Neurospora crassa OR74A: one gene and its partners. The protein of the gene in region 3 purifies or fractionates together with the protein of the main gene of each other region. This does not show direct contact. Links are inferred from orthologs where the notes say so. Each region holds a gene or a part of one and is shown on either strand. Other genes may lie near its edges.

Region 1 (4,057 bases), on a different chromosome or scaffold from region 3:
CGTCCCGTCCTAGATGTTCTCTCGGCCTTGGAAGGCACCATGTACCTACTCACGTTTCCTTTAAATCTCGATGAACTTCGATTGAAGGCGAGCTTGAAGGTGAGCTTAAACTTATAATTGCCATTTCACCTTCGTTTTGATCCGATACCAACCCATAAATGGGATCAACAGCTTAACGTTCAGGACTCATACTTCTCTTTGATATCCCGTAGATGTGCAATGATATCTTGATTCCCCTTCAGACCACCAAGCCTAGCCTAGGTATTTTTTAACCAAAAAAAAGCCACACACACACACACACACACACATAAACACCAGAAAATGCAGACCCCTTTTCCTTTCCCATCTCATCTACCAGACGCCGTCCCTCTACTTCCTAACCCTAAAAGTCTTCAACACATTCTTCCTCCCCCCAGGTCCCTTCTTATACTTCCCATGCCCACCTTTTCCACCCTTGGCCCCCTTCTTGCCTCTCGTCTTCTTATCGTCGCCCTGCTTCTTAAACGGCACGAACCCAATCTGGGTTTCCGTGAGAGCGTTCTTGCCGTCCTGGGGCAGCAAGTAATCAGGCACGTGCTTGAGATGGGCTTGCTGGCGCATCTTGGTGCCGAGCTCGCCGTCGTGGCGCAGGTGCGACAGCTCGTGCGGGTTCTCTTCAAAGTAGCGCTTGAGCGTCTCGGAGCGCAGGAGTTCTTGTCGCAGTTCGCGGGTGCGGGCTTCGCGGATGGCAACTTTTGTTACGGCGCGGAGGGCTATTGCTCAGTTAGAGAATGAATGGTCAAATGGACGAAATGATAAGGGGGAAAGGGGGTACTGACCATCGTTCATACGATAACGGAAAGCCTCCATCTGATCCTTGTTAAAGTTGTACGGCTCCAACTTGCGGTTGAGCTTGGCCTGCTGGCGCATCACCTTGGCCAGAACCTTCTCGTCCTTCTCGCACTGCTTGATGCTGGTGGGCTTGTGCTTGCCAAAGAGATCGTGAGGGACGACCATCGATAGAGCAATACCGGCGCGACCGGCGCGGGCGGTGCGGCCTATCCGGTGAATGTAGGAAGAGGAAGAAGTGGGCATGTCGAAGTTGATAACGGCGGCAACGTTTTTGAAGTCGATGCCTGGGATCATTTGGGTTAGTATCCAGAACCATGTAGGACCAAAACGCAGACAGACTTACCTCGCGAAACACCATACTCCTGATCCCTCCTGCCCTTCTTCTTCTTTCCCTTGCCGTTCTTCTTCTCATCGCCCTCCTTCTTTTCACCTTGCTCCTCCTTCTTCTCCTCAGTCTTCTCGTCCTCCAAGAAGACCTCGCTCCTCTCATCCGACGCAATGATGATATCATAAATACCCCTGTTAAACTCCTCGATAATCTTGATCCGTGTATTAATCGGCAACTCCGAGTTCAGCACACAGCTGCGAATGCTAAACTGCTCGAAAAACAGCTTCAAGCGGTACGCGCGATCGATATCCGCCACAAACACCAGACAGGGACCCTTGATCAGCTGCAGCTTGAAGATCAGGTAGCTGATGAGCCACTTGTCATCCTCGCCGCACTTGACGTAAAACTGGGTGAGCTTCTCGTCCTCGTTGCTGAACTCTTCCTTCAGGTCCAGCATGGTGGGATTGCGGCAGAAAAAGCCCTTGAGCGTGTCGAGCTCGTCAGAGACGAGAGTGGCGCTCATCATGGTGGTCTGCACACCGCCCTTGGGCAGCGAGCGGGCGATGTTCTCCATATCTTCATCGTAGCCGTAGGACAGGACGAGGTCGGCCTCGTCGAGCACGAGGTACTGTAGCTTGGCGACGCTGAGAGCGCCGGACTCGATGTTGTGCCAGGCGCGGGCGGGAGTGGAGACGATCACGTCGGGGGCATTGGCGAGGAGGGAGCGCAGGACGGCGTCGGACACGTTGTCGGTCAACTTGGCGGATTGGATGTCCTTGGTGCAGAAGGCGGAGAAGGCATCGATGGCTTTGTGGACTTGGTCGGCGAGTTCGCGCGTAGGGACGAGGATGAGGGCGGAGGTGAAGGGGGTTGGGTCGGTCTGTTTGTGGTTTCCTTTTCGTTAGCATCCAACCTTGTCACAACACAACTTCTTCTCCCGGGTGTCAAGGTAACTCACAGCCTTCCTCTTAAGAATGCCGCTCAACACAGGCAACACATATGCCGCCGTCTTACCCGATCCTGTCTTCGCCTTGCACAGCACGTCCTGGCCCGCCAGCGCAAGCGGGATCGCCTTCCTTTGCACGAGCGTCGGCTTCTCAAAGCTCTGTTTCGCAACGGCCTGCACAAGGCGAGGGTCGAGACCCAGGTCGGAGAAGGTCAAGTCGGCATCGTCCTTCTCGCTCTGCTTCTTCTCGTCCTTTTCGTCTTGTTGTTTTTGCTCGTCCTTTAGTTGTTGCTCGAGCTCTTGCTCCTCCTCGGTTTGTTGCTGCGCTTGTTGTTGGGTCGCTTCGGGCTTCTCCTCCTGTGGCTTGACACTCTGCGACTTGGACTTCTTCTCCTTCTTTTCCTTCTTCTCGGTTGAAGACTTCTTGGTCTTCTTCTGGGTCTGAGGCTCGGTCACGACTGACGGCTCGTCCGTCTCGTTCAACTTGCGCTTGGCCATTGTGTCGGGGTATCTAGGTTGTGAAGTTTGGTATTAAACTGGTCTTGCGCGACAGTAATTGTAAGTTAATAACACGGTGAAAGTTGGTGATCAGTCGACTAGAGTTGGCCGTGGTATGGTCTATGGACAGAAAGATGGTAGATGAAGAATGTTTTTGGAAGTGGAGGAGGAGGGGCTGCACTTCAATGGAAGCTACGAAACGGATGGATGCCAATTCCTCGAATCGACCAAAAAAGTTTGGGAAAAAATTCGACGGGGACTCGCCCAGGCGTCGCACCCACTGATTGGCCAGCGCTACCAGTCCACTTCACAGTGGGCATAGGCGCTAGCGCACCGGCAGCTCATTGCCCCACAAAAGCTTAATCCGACAACTTGAACCCCCACAGCGACCAGGGGGATCCATCATATGCCCTGGGCTGGGCTGCCTGCCACCTTCAACGCAGGTCCACGATCTTACACTAGTCAGCCTTCAGTCATGAGCCCTACGAGGCCGTTGAGGCTCAAAATGGCCTCAGAATCATACCTTACAATCACGTTCAAGATCACGTCTGGACAAAATCAAGCTCGCTACTATACTAACTTTGATGAAATCCTACTAACGGAAAGAAATACATCTTAACATGAGCCATAATCCTTAAAAGCCATTCTTCGTTTTCTTTTCGCTCGAGCCACATAACCAGAGAGGCAAGTAACATGCGCTGAGAATCAAGCTATCCATCCAACACGAAACGAAATTGACCACACCAATCTACACTTGCGCGAACCTTCCATACCAGGCTGTCACCACACAAAAGCTCAGACGCCAACATTTTACCAAACCATAAGAACGTGAAAGTCAGATGACAAGGAAATACTTCAGCATTCATCTCTCATGACCTTTATCCATCTGTTACAGGAGCCTCTCCGTCAATCATCGTCCAACTCTGGAGCACCACACGGCAGTGTTCCGTGTCGTTGCTATTCGGCCTGACTGTTTCAGACAAGTTCAACTCAGCGTCCGGAGTCCTTAAGGACCGATTGGGCTGACTTCGCCTTTTCCCTATACCAGTCCTCGAAGCTCCTCGAGCCGCCCGCTGCATCTAGTAACGACGACCATAGTCACGCGGCGGGTATGGCTCGCGAGGGTACGGGTCACGCGGAGGGAAGTCCACGGGAGGAGCACGGCGATCGTAAGCATCTCCGCGTCCGCTCATGTACGGGTCGGGAGGGTAATCGCGGGGAGCACGGTACGGGTCATCGTAACGTCCGCGGGGAGGCGGGTAGTCATCGATCGGGCGCCTGGGTGGCGAGCGGTAACCACCTCTCCTGTCGTCGTAGTACTCGCGCCTTGGTGGGGGCGACCTGTCACGGTAACCATCACGGTAGCCGTCGCGGCGGGGGCTGTATCCGCGAGGAGGGGGTCCACGGCGGTCGTAATCGTCTATGGGAGGGGGGTATGGGCGGCCACGCGGCGA
Region 2 (4,065 bases), on a different chromosome or scaffold from region 3:
TATTCGGTTTCCAAGCGGCACTTAGCCATCAAGTGACGGTGAACCCGATATATGTCGGTCTTGGTGCCGCAGTCAAAATGTTTGCACAGCACTTTGCCTCTACACGCCATGTTGATATGGGGAGGTTGTGTCCCTCGAAAATTGTGGTACAAGTGGTTCAATGTGAAGGTCGTATGATAATAAGGCCTTCCAAGGTCCGGAATGGCGAATATAAGAAAGTTGTCTCGCTCCTGTCTGGTTAATTATGATTTACCTCACTCCAAGTAGGCCACGGCCTGTTTCAAGCGTCATATCTGAACCATCAGGGAAGTCTGGAAGCAAGCTTTTCTCTATGCAATCATATATAACATGTCCAGACTTGTAAACAGGGCTATCAGTCAACCGCAAATTACGCGGGGCCCAACAAAATCGCATTGACAAAGTAAACAACATAAAAGGGGTATTTAGTCAACCTGTGGCTACCGTCCACTTTTGTCACTATAGCCATGCGACGCCTACAATTTCCTCAACCTAGGCATCGAGCTTCTCTAAAAGGAGCTTCGAGCCCTGGTTGCCCTTGGGGGCAGAAGCATTCTTGCCCTTCTTAGCCTTTGGCTTCTCCTCCATCTCTTCCTTCTTCGACGCCGGTGCTTCAGTTGCGGCCTTGATAAGGGCCTTCTTGTTGGACTTGAGGGTCTTGAGGAGCTCCTTCTTCGATGAGAAGTCGGAAGCCTCGAGCATAGCTAGCACCGTCCAAGAGCTAGGGCCGGTGGCCCATTGTACAATGTGGTCCTTGATGACGGGATAGAGAAGGTCGGCGAAGTTGAGCGGGGGGTCGACCTTCTGGATGCTGCCTGTGGCCTTGTCAAACCGGCCGCCAGCAATCAGTGTCTTGAACATGCGGCCACCGTGAATGGTTGTCGAGATGTGAGGGGGAAGAGCTTGGTAGGCATCCTTGGGCGCCTCAGCGTTGGGATCGCCACCGGCAGTAGAGGCAATAGCCTCCAACGCGGCCTTCTTATCTCCAGTCGCCGAAAGCAAAACATCAGTAACAAACTGGCAACCGAAAGAGGTGGCCACCAGGTCGGCGGGTGAGCTTGCGATGGCCGCAAGGAGCTGAGGCGACATGGCCGTCACCAACTCCTTACGCCTAACCTCGGCGTCCTTCTTGCTGGTCTTGGTGCGGATCTCGTGAATCTCCTTCAGAATCTCCAGGTCGGTGGCGTGGCTGGCAGGGAACAACGCTTTGGACATTCCCTCAAAGAGATATAATACCGTCGTGCGCGCGTTGAGGTCGTTAGCGAGAAAGATGACGTGCTCGGCATCCTTCTCTTCATTCTTGCCAAGAATCTCGGAGAAGATCGTCTTGGACGTGAGGACAGTGTCATCAAGGAGATCGTAGGCGGCGAGGATGATCGCGTGCGCGTGATTGTCACCACTCATGAGCTGGTAGGTGTCCTTGTAGGCCTTGAGCAGCTGCTTGCGGTCCTTGGCGGTTCCGTGCGCAAGGAGCAAGCACACGAGGCGGGCGCCAGACTTGGTGAATGCCATGTTTTTGAGCAAGTCGCCGGTCTCATCCTCCTTAATAGTCTCAAAGAACTCCTTGAACTCTTCGCTTTCGGGGTTAAGGTTGAGGAAGTACTGCAACAGAGCGTCGTGGAGCATGGTGAAACCAGTCATTTTCTTTTGAATGAGGCCATTGGCCATGTCAAAAAGGTACTTCATCGCCGTTGTCCTCTTGCTGGGCTCGTCAGCCAAAATCTTGGAGAGATCGCCAGTGACCTCGGTACCCTTGGGTTGCCTAAACAGAGCAAACTCGGGACCGTACCACTCGCGAAGGAGGTTGGCCTTTTGCTCCTTGGTCGCAACACCGCGGTAGACATCGTCCAGAATCCAGGAACCCTCAGCATGGTTGATGAGCTTGCGAACTTTGCCGTAAAACTCGGGGACGATGATGTCGCGGATCTCCTTGTCGTTCTGCACCAGAAGCTTGCCGATCAGGAACTTGGCATACCTGCTCTCGGCGAGCTGCGCATAGGTTCCTTGAAGTTCCTTCGCAATCTGCCTACGCTGAACCGGGGTGGCGTACTTGACGGCGGTCTGGACGGCACGGACAGCATCGTGCTTTAGGACAAAGTCCTTGATGCGGCCAGTTATGATGGTGAACAACTCCTCAACGAGCTGTTGGCGCTCCTCCTTAGGCACATGCGACTTGCGACGGAGCTTCTCCCACAGCTTCTTGGTACGGTGCACCTCATCGGCCAGTGGCTTCGCGTTCTTGCGTTCTTGGGCGAGTTGTTTTTGCTTGGCGTGCGCCTCCCTGGAGCTTGTGCCTGCGTTGTGTTAGTCAAATAACAGAGCGAGGTTCGGTCATCATGGGGCAGATATGGTAAAGAGAGACAACGTACCAGACTTGGTCTCGTTGGAGCCATTGCCGGACTCATTGGGCGTGGATGTTGTGGTCTCTCCTGTGTGGAACTCGGCGTCTGAGCTTTCATCGGAGGATTCATTGTCTTCGGCTTCGGCCTTGATGTGTTTCTTGCCAGAAGTGGTCTTTACTGCTTTTGTACGGCCATCCTCGTTATGCTTGCCGAACGCCTTTCTCTTTCCGCCGGCAGCGGCTGCTGAAGACGACTTGGTCGCCATTGATGCTATGCGATGTCTGTGTTGCTCCGGGATATGAAGGATTGATCTAGGTATGGGGGGCTCGTGTTGACGTCGTACTGGGTGGGCGCTGGTTCAAAGGTGATGGTCGAGCAGGAATATGTGAAAGTGCAGGTATTCAGACGGGAATCCGAAACTTTGGAGTGCCCTGTATCTGAAGCCTCTGAATTGGAAATTCTGTAGCACGTTTTCCGCTGAAAATTTCTGGATCCGCATCCTGGCATCTGCCGGGCGGTGAGAAGCTTTCCGGGGTTCTGTGGTGGGGCGACTTGATCGACACTGTCTAGAACTGTCCATTGATATAACAAGGAACCCAGGCAGGACCCCCACCATAGATTGAGCCGCGCTCGCGTTTTGGAGTTTGGCCTGCACCTGACGCTACAGTCACTGCAATGCCGTCTGGTTGCCCCTCCCGTCCTCTTCTCTAGGTTAGTAAACGCCTGAAAGTCAACATTGCCAGCACCCACTTTTGGAAGGAGTCTTTCACGTTTTATGTCGTCCAGCACACTGCAAACTTGAAAGGCGCCCTACCGATTGGACATCATGGGCCGCGAAGAACAAATTGAAGAGAGGGAAGTCCTCGACTCCATCTTCCCAGATGAGATCCAAGGTTCGATTGTTCGCCCACATCGGTTGCCGTTCAGGCATGGGCCTGTCCTAACCCAAGCTCGACTCGTCTAGATATCTCCGATACCGAATACCGGATTACTATCACGCTGGACATTCCTGATGATGATGCCGAAGAAACACCAAGCATGGTACTTACCGTACGGTACCCCGAAGACTATCCCGACAAGCCACCTTTCCTTGAGCTTGCGTCCGCCCCAAATGCGCCGCCCCATCAGTACATAAACATTGCCGACGATCGGTTCCAGCTGCTCGAAGGTATCCAAGAGACAATTGAAGAGAATTTGGGGATGGCCATGATCTTTACTGTTGTGTCGGCGTTGAAGGATGCTGCGGAGCAACTGGCAGTAGAGCGGAGGGACGCTGCCATCAAGGCGCAAGAGGAGGCCGCCCTTGCCGCGGAGCGCGAAGAGAACAAGAAGTTCCAGGGCACTCCCGTCAATCGCGAAACCTTTTTGAAGTGGAGGGAGAGTTTCTTGCAGGAACTGGAAGATCAGAGAATCAAGGAGGAAGAGGAAAAGGCGGCCGAGATGAAGAAGGCAAGGATAAAGGAGCCTGTCAAGCTCACGGGCAAACAACTCTGGGAGAGGGGCTTGGCTGGGAAGGGTGATGAGGACCTGGAAGGCGATGATGACGTCCCCGTGGAAGAGGTCCAGAAACTCACGGTTTAGGACCGTTAGACAAATCGTAAGCCCTCTATCACGTTCGCCAAAATTATCTAATTCTTTGCTGTAGGCTTTAATCCGCTCTAAGTATACCTAACCCATGTGAAAACCAATCCTGAACATTACTTTT
Region 3 (3,927 bases):
GCGAGAAAAACAAAGCAGGCAAACAGGCGTTCTATTATATAATAATAGCATGTAGAGGGCGTACAATATTATTGAGCGTTGTCTTGGTTAAGAACTGCCAGCGAAAGAGTTCACGAGTGTCCACGGCGGAAATAGACTGAGAGGTGTTGGAAAACGCTAAGGGATTGCTTTTGATCGTGATAAAGGTATACTTAGATAGCAAACAGGAAAGGCCCTAAGAATAACATAAATGGTTTAACATTCCGGGCCAGCAGCAGAAAAACACACACTCTCTCCCTACATTAGGTAAACTCCAAGAGCCCAGGCTTATTTCTTGCCCCTAATGTTAGCCTTCTTTTTCCTCTGTTGCCTCTTTCTCGCCAGGATCTTGGTCATGAGGGCCTCCTTGACCATCTCACTCTTCTTGCCCTTCTTATCCACCTTGATATCTTCAGCCTTCACCTCCTTCGCCGGGGCGGCGCCTGCGGCCTTGGCCACCTCAGCCGGGCCCTTCTTATCCTTGCCCTTGTTCCACCCAGCAGGCTTCTCAGGCTTAGCGCCCTTCTTCCTATCCGCCTTCCTTCCAGCCTTGTATGCCTCCTTGGCCTCCTTGGATCTCTTCTTTTCCTCCATCTCCGCCTTCCTTTCCGCGGGCGTCATCGTCCTTTGCTTCTCCTCATCCTGTCTCCTCCGCTGCACCACGTTCGCGTTCTCGATCGCGAACTCGACAATCAGCCTTTGCGTCTTGCCCAGCTCGTTCTTGACGGCAAACCCGTTCAGGTAGCGCAGGCCCATGAGCGCCCAGCGGTGCGACGAGTACTCGATAAAGCCGTAGCCACGCGACTTGCCGCCACCGACCTTTTCGTCCACCTTGGTGCCCGTGGTCGTCTCGAACACGATCTTGGCCTGCTTGACGACACCCTTGCCCTTGAGCTTCCGGAGGCGCTCGTTCTCCTTGTCTTGCTCACCACCGCGCGAGTTTTCTTCCTTGGAGATGGGCGCGCGCTTGCCTTCCTTGACGTCCTTGGCGAAGCCGACGACGGCCTGGCGCGCGAGCGCCTTGAGCTCCTTGGACCCGATGTTGCGCGGCAGGTTGCGCAGCGCGAGACGGGTGAGCGACAGGTGCAGCGACGGGTTGGACTGGATCAGCTTCTTGCGCTGGTTGGCCGACGCTTCGCGCATCTTGATTTCGGCCGGGGTAAGGACCTTGAAGAGCGTAGACGAGGGTGTGATTTGGCCCTCGTTCAGGAGGTACAGGCGTCTCTTGTCCTTGTCCTTCTTACCGGCCGAGGCCTCCGCGAGACGCTCGGCTTCGTCCTTGGAGACGGCGTGGGCGACTTGAAGGATGCGCCCGTCGAGCGTGTACTTGCCCTCCGGATCGACGGTCTCGTCTTGAAGGATGGAGTGCTTGACGAGTGTGGTGGTAGGTTGATGGCGGGGGGCGCCCTTGAGGCAGGCCTTCATCTCCTCCTCGTTGAAAAAGCACACGAAACCGGTACCGGCTGGCCTGTCGGTGGCCTTGTCCTTGACAACTCGGGCGTATCTGATGCCGCCGAACTGGGTAAAGTGCGCCTTCAGCTGCTCATCGGTGGTGGTGTATGGTAGGTTGCGAATGAAGAGTGTTAGAGAGTTGTCGGTTAGCCGCTTGGGCTTCTGTTCCTCCTCCTCATCCTCCTCGTCCTCCTCGTCCTCCTCGATATCATCTTCGTCCTTGTCCTCATCGTCTTCATCCTCGTCCTCCTTGTCCTTGTCTTCGTCCTCCTCGTCTTCACTCTCGAGGTTCTCGCCTTGGCTCTTGAAGAAGTTGTAAAGATCCTTTTCCTCCTGTGTCATGCCAGCAGTCTCCTCCTCCTCTGTCTTCTTGTCCTTGGGTTCCTTAACCTTCTTGTCCTTTTTCTCCTTCTTGTCGTCTGACTTTTCGCCGTTCTGCTGGGCCCATGTCTGCTTATCCACGGCCCAGTCGACGGCCAATGGGCGGCCATCGACCTCCATGCCATTGACGGCCTCGATAGCCTTTTCGGCATTCTTGCGACCACGGAGGGTGACGAAACCGAAACCAGAGAGCTTGCCCTTATCGTTGGGCAAGTCGGCGAACCTGACCTTACCATATGGCTTGAATAGCTCGGCCAACTGCTCAGGCTTCTTGATGCTCCATGGCAGGTTGCGGATGATGAGTTTGTTGGGTTTCTGGGCCTCGGCGACGGCTTCGGCACGTTTCTGCTTCTCCTCGGCGACCTTGGACACAACGGGTCCGGTCTTCTTGGCATCACGGTGTCTGGCTTCGGCAATGTCGAGCTTCAGGCGCTTCCCTTCAAGCAGGTAGTTGTTGAGCTTGGCCTTGGCCTCGAGGGTATCCTCGGGATCGGTGAAGGTGACGAAACCATAGCCGCGCGAGGTCTTGGTCTTGGGATCGAGGACGACGGTGGCATGCTTCACAGGGAAATGTTGGGAGAAGAACTCGGTCAGAGACTCGGCGGTGGCACTTGGAGGCAGCTGTCGGATGAAGAGAGAGCGGTTGGATTCAACTCTAGCTTTCTTGCTTGGGGGGTTCTGTGCAGCAACATCGGAATCCTTGATGGCATCGGGATCAACTGGGATCTCCTCGTCCACCTCGCGTTGGCGCTTCTTGTTCCCGTCCTTGCCCATTATTGCAAGCAATCGGGTTGTTATGTTATGTGTTTGTTAGGTGGTGTTGTTGTTGAAAGAAGGGGAGAGATGAGAAAGCAGCCAAATCAAACCAAAAGTGAAGAGAACAGACCCTCTCAAGGCGCAAATGGTGGATGGGAATCGCCGAGTGCACAGCTTCCCCCAGCGACAACAGTTCTGGACCCTTCGCCCAAAGAAAAATATTCGAAGTGGAGTCCCGATAAGAGCGTACAAGGGAGCTTATCGTTTCCCTCAAGCTTGGCAGCGGGATCCTGAGCCCGTCTCTTCCACTTCCTCTCTTCGCGCGCTTCCACAATCCACACCAAAGGAAAGGCGGGGCGCACAGACCATTCAAGCTCACCAGCAGGGTCGATACGTTTTGCGACATACAGCGCAGCGAGCAGCGCGACCCCTCTGCAGCAGGTCAGACAGTCCCTCCCGCTAGGTGACGACGGGGCCGCCAGGAAATTCACAGCAGCCCACCTGCAGTGCAAAGTAAACAAAACAACCTTCATTCGCGAATAGTGTCACTTTCATTCATCCCCGGCTCCTGCTCAGTTGCAAAAGCCATCCTACGAAACCTCACATCCGTCTTTTTTTTTTGCTTGTTTTCTTATATCTTGGGCTTGGATTACTTGTACCTTTTCCATATCGCATACAAATAGAGGACTGCCGCTGTGCAGGCCCCGCTAATACCAACAGTCATTGCCGACCATGGCGCCGGGCAGATCGACGAGAGCGACACGCGGGGCGCGCCAGACCTCGGTCGTACCAGAAGCACCCTTGGATACTCCCGACAATGCGCTACGCACACAAGTCGCGACCGTCTTCGGCGACGCCCAAAAGACCACGGCATCCCATCGCAAGCTGGCCGTGACCCTGCGCAAGATACAAGAAGCATGCTGCTACGAGCCGACGAGTACGAAGAAGCCCGCCGAGGCCGACGAGTTCGAGGAAGATGACTTCAACAAGGAGTTTGTACGCTGTGTCCTGCGCGTCATGCCCATCAAGAAGAGCGAGGGAGTCGGCGAGAAGACGGTGCGCTTCATCGGTCTGTTCCTGCGGCATGCCGTCGAGAAGGATAACGAAATTCTCGGCGAGGCCGACCCGGACGCCAGCACCATGCCCGAGACACCCAGCACCCGGCTTACCGGACACTTGATGGAAACCGTTCTTCCCTTGATGATCGCCAAGGACAAGTTTGTGCGCTATCGGTCAACGCAACTCATATCTCATATCATCAACTCCCTCGACGCGATTGACGACGACCTCTTCCAGAAGCTACGGTCAAGTCTACTTAGG
Region 4 (3,367 bases), on a different chromosome or scaffold from region 3:
ATCTCGAGTCTTAACTCTTTGGTGGGACTGGCTTTAGTCTCTTTATAGACAAGCATAAGGAAGCCATCATTGATTGATACAACTCTGCTCTAACAAACACAATTTCTGGTACAGGCATTTCATTCATAACCTTGTAGTCAGTCAACATATACACTAATCAATCGTTCTCGGCATGGATATTTGGTTTCATAATTTTGTACTAAATCAGTCTGCAGACTGCCTCACCGACACCCCTTATAGACGTTTCCAAACCAAAGATCGAAACAGGGAATAGTTCATAGGTTTTCCTATGGTTGTACATGATTATGGCATTGTCTTTTTTCTATGATTATAGATAGTTGCAAGGTAGCAAGGTAGCAAGGTAGCAAGGTAGCAAGGTATCCAGGTAGAAGAGGGAAATAGCATGAGTGCCATGTGATAGTAGGCAGCGAGTGCTGACAATACTAGATTCTTCCAAACAAAGCTGTAGCGGCAAATTCGGCCGGTCGATCGGTTGATCCTATGGTCCCATATGTTGGTTGGTATAAATATCACGTATATGCTAGATAGATGTCTAGGTCTACAAGCTTTGGCAAGGCAACTTCACGAACAACCCATCATCCATCAATAACTCCAGCTTTGGTCATCTCTTCTTTTCTGTTGATGATCTGATCTGGCATGAATGTTCATCTTCCCCAAGAGCAGCAGCAGCCAATGATATAAGATAAAGTAAAGTAATAAAACTAAAAACTCCCAAAAACGCCTTGTGTCTTGGTGGATGATCGCAACAATTGTGAGAGAAAAAAGATTAAACCTCCTCCCTGCCTGCCTTCTTCTTCATCCCCTCAACCCCTCATTCTCCCGTCTCCCTACTCTTGCTCAACTCAAAACTCAACGACATCCCTCGCCTTCTTCTTCCTCGGCCCCACGATCCTGTCACTGACCTCCTTGACGCCCTCCATCGGCATATCCGCATCATCAAAGTCCTCATCCACCACATCCCTGCTCCTCTTGAGACCCTTCATCTTTCTCGTCTGCAACTCGCTGAGATCCAGCTTGCCCATATGGATCCTACCAATCTTGTCACCGATGCTGTCCATGCTGATGTTCTTCTTGGTGCGCTCCTCGTTGGTCTTGGGCTTGCGCATCGCAGCCTTGAGCATGTCCGCGTCGGGCTGCTGGAGGCGACCGAGGCGGAAGTCCATGCGGGGGCCGTGCTCCTCGACTTCGACTCGGGGGAGCTTCTGGCCGGAACGCTTGGTGCGGATCAGGTAGGCGCGCAGGTGGAGGGTGGGTTTTGTCGAGGGGTCCGAGGGATCGGTGGAGGAGGAAGTGGGCTCGTCGGCGGAAACGACAACGCAGTACTGCAGACCCTCAACGTCGATCTTGTCTGAGGGCTCGCCGCGGAAGAAGTCGATGAGCATGGATTTGGCGGTGGTGAAGGCGTTGGGGACGGGGGATTCGCTGTGGTACTCGGTTAGCTGACGTTCATTCACTACTCCTTCCTCTTTGTCACAAGAATCGGGGGACATACAAAGCAGTACCGGCGAACACCATCAAAGGCTTGGTGCCTACGGGCACCTTCTTGGTCTTGAACTGGGCAATGCTGCGGAAGGTCTCGGGGTCGAGGTAGAACTCGAGCATGTCGAGCATCTTGTAGTCGAAGGTGCGGCAGAAGGTGATGGTGTGGGGCCTCTTCTTGCTGCTGGAGCCGAAGAGGATGAGCGAGGTGTCGTTCTTCTCAGAGAAGAAGGTCAGGGAGCTGGCGTCCTCGAAGGGGTGGACGGGGTTCTTCTTGTGGAAGCGCTTGGCGTGGGTTTGGCGCAGCGAGTAGAGATCTTGCATGGCATCTTGGGTCTGCGGACTGTATTAGATTTTGATGATACCATCATATATAGGAGGAGAGGATATGGAGGAGGTGACATACGACTTGGCTGCAGGTGGTGCCGCGAAGGAAGAGGGCGGTCTTGGGGTTCTCATTGACCTTGGGGGCACGCTTCTCGAGCGCCCTCTTGGAACGGGCTGTCCGCGGCTTGCTGTGCGGAGAAGAGAACTGTCAGCTAATGTTCGGTATGTTCCATTGTCATGATCGATTGACGTACACTTGGCGGAGCATTTTGGCGGTCTGGTTATGCGATGACGGTAGTGGGTGGATTGGATAGGTACCGCAAGGTGGTGATGTGGACTGGGGACTGTCTCCTTCACCTGCAAATCGTCGTCGTGATGGTCGAGCAAAGAAATTCCAGAACGGCGCTTATCGATAAGAGGAGACCTTGAACTCGAAATTTTGTGGGGCAGGTGGGGTCAAGATTGTCCGCTCGTCCACTGGGCGCTGGCTTTCCCCTGCCTGTCGTTCAGGGGTTCACGGGCTGTTAGGTTCCATTCCATTTCACGCCTCAACGTCACTGCAACGGCAACCAAAATCATTTCCATTTCTGCCGTCTCATCACAATTAGGTTGGTGATGGAGTCAACCTTGAGTTCCATATTCTTGTTCTGATCACTCGATAATCACTTGCTCTTTGGGAAACAAGCATTGAGCAATATGATTGCCAAGTCAGCAACATCACAAAACTCTGGCATCACTCTTACAAGGTCAGCACACTTGAGAAGATTCTGAATACACGAAGCCAACATATTGGGATGGTGTTCTTCTACACTTCGGGTTCACAATACAGATTCCTTAAAACCGTTCTACTCTGACATAAAACCAGATTTCTCCAGTCATTGCTCCCGGCGAGCATCAAGAATGCTCTCATCCACCTACTACGGACCTACCTGGCCTGTCGTTCTCTAACACCATGAAGCAGTTCAGTATAGCTTCCCTCCTCTCACAATGATCTATTTCGCCATGTCCCCTCTCTCTCTCGTGGTCGTCTTGACTGGACCATAAATGTAGGATATCCATCCAACCTGATGAGACTCCCCGGTCTCTTTCCCCATCACGTCCAAACAGCCCATACCCATCCCATCCATACTTTGCATGTATCGTACAACCTCCGGAACGCATCCCATTCACGTGGTGGCTTCTTTTACCGTTGTTCCATGGATCCTCGGCACTCCTCCTTTCACCGCCTCCGCCTCCGCCGTCACTAGGTATGTATGCCATCGGGAAGCTACCTACCTACTTTTCAACGGTTTTGAAAAAGGGCGATTGCATTCTCGTCAAGCCCAGCCCATGCCACTGAAACTGAAACTTAAACTGTCCGCAGCTGTATGTATGTATGTACATGTGGAGTGTTCGGAGACTCGGGCATTAGGAATGCATTTTCGAAAAGTTCTATGCAGTTTCCCGCGACTGAGAAGCCTGGGATGCAAGTAAACTGTCGTGACTCGTGAACTCGTTGGAAGCATGTTCCCGTGAGGGTGTGGTGAGAGAAGGAGGTTTG

The links. The genes of interacting proteins can lie anywhere in the genome.
Region 1: the proteins of NCU06217 (region 3) and NCU07070 purify together in Saccharomyces cerevisiae (affinity purification with mass spectrometry, with the first as the bait; 3 studies listed by BioGRID). This does not show direct contact. The link is inferred for Neurospora crassa OR74A from reciprocal best matches to the Saccharomyces cerevisiae genes NOP4 and DBP9.
Region 2: the proteins of NCU06217 (region 3) and NCU09380 purify together in Saccharomyces cerevisiae (affinity purification with mass spectrometry; 3 studies listed by BioGRID, with this or other methods). This does not show direct contact. The link is inferred for Neurospora crassa OR74A from reciprocal best matches to the Saccharomyces cerevisiae genes NOP4 and PUF6.
Region 4: the proteins of NCU06217 (region 3) and NCU08595 purify together in Saccharomyces cerevisiae (affinity purification with mass spectrometry; 4 studies listed by BioGRID, with this or other methods). This does not show direct contact. The link is inferred for Neurospora crassa OR74A from reciprocal best matches to the Saccharomyces cerevisiae genes NOP4 and RPF2.

What each region holds. Positions count from the first base shown.
Region 1 is NC_026506.1:261,756-265,812, forward strand, and holds NCU07070 (ATP-dependent RNA helicase dbp-9), read right to left. Parts: upstream 2,801-4,057; 5' UTR 2,604-2,800; coding exon 2,118-2,603; intron 2,040-2,117; coding exon 1,175-2,039; intron 1,116-1,174; coding exon 819-1,115; intron 753-818; coding exon 370-752; 3' UTR 208-369; downstream 1-207. Other genes in the region: NCU07069 (pre-mRNA splicing factor), read right to left, coding at 3,683-4,057.
Region 2 is NC_026501.1:3,514,745-3,518,809, reverse strand, and holds NCU09380 (pumilio domain-containing protein), read right to left. Parts: upstream 2,801-4,065; 5' UTR 2,626-2,800; coding exon 2,388-2,625; intron 2,313-2,387; coding exon 511-2,312; 3' UTR 285-510; downstream 1-284. Other genes in the region: NCU09381 (RWD domain-containing protein), read left to right, coding at 3,187-3,253, 3,325-3,941. UniProt on the Saccharomyces cerevisiae protein: RNA-binding protein involved in post-transcriptional regulation. Component of the ASH1 mRNP which transports the ASH1 mRNA to the distal tip of the bud, where the ASH1 protein is translated and targeted to the daughter cell nucleus.
Region 3 is NC_026503.1:1,936,366-1,940,292, reverse strand, and holds NCU06217 (nucleolar protein 4), read right to left. Parts: upstream 2,801-3,927; 5' UTR 2,626-2,800; coding exon 307-2,625; 3' UTR 143-306; downstream 1-142. Other genes in the region: NCU06216 (nuclear condensin complex subunit 3), read left to right, coding at 3,340-3,927. UniProt on the Saccharomyces cerevisiae protein: Required for 60S ribosomal subunit synthesis. Probably involved in the processing of 27S rRNA to produce mature 25S rRNA.
Region 4 is NC_026501.1:9,517,966-9,521,332, forward strand, and holds NCU08595 (ribosome biogenesis protein), read right to left. Parts: upstream 2,198-3,367; 5' UTR 2,096-2,197; coding exon 2,082-2,095; intron 2,016-2,081; coding exon 1,907-2,015; intron 1,837-1,906; coding exon 1,514-1,836; intron 1,444-1,513; coding exon 864-1,443; 3' UTR 501-863; downstream 1-500. UniProt on the Saccharomyces cerevisiae protein: Required for biogenesis of the 60S ribosomal subunit.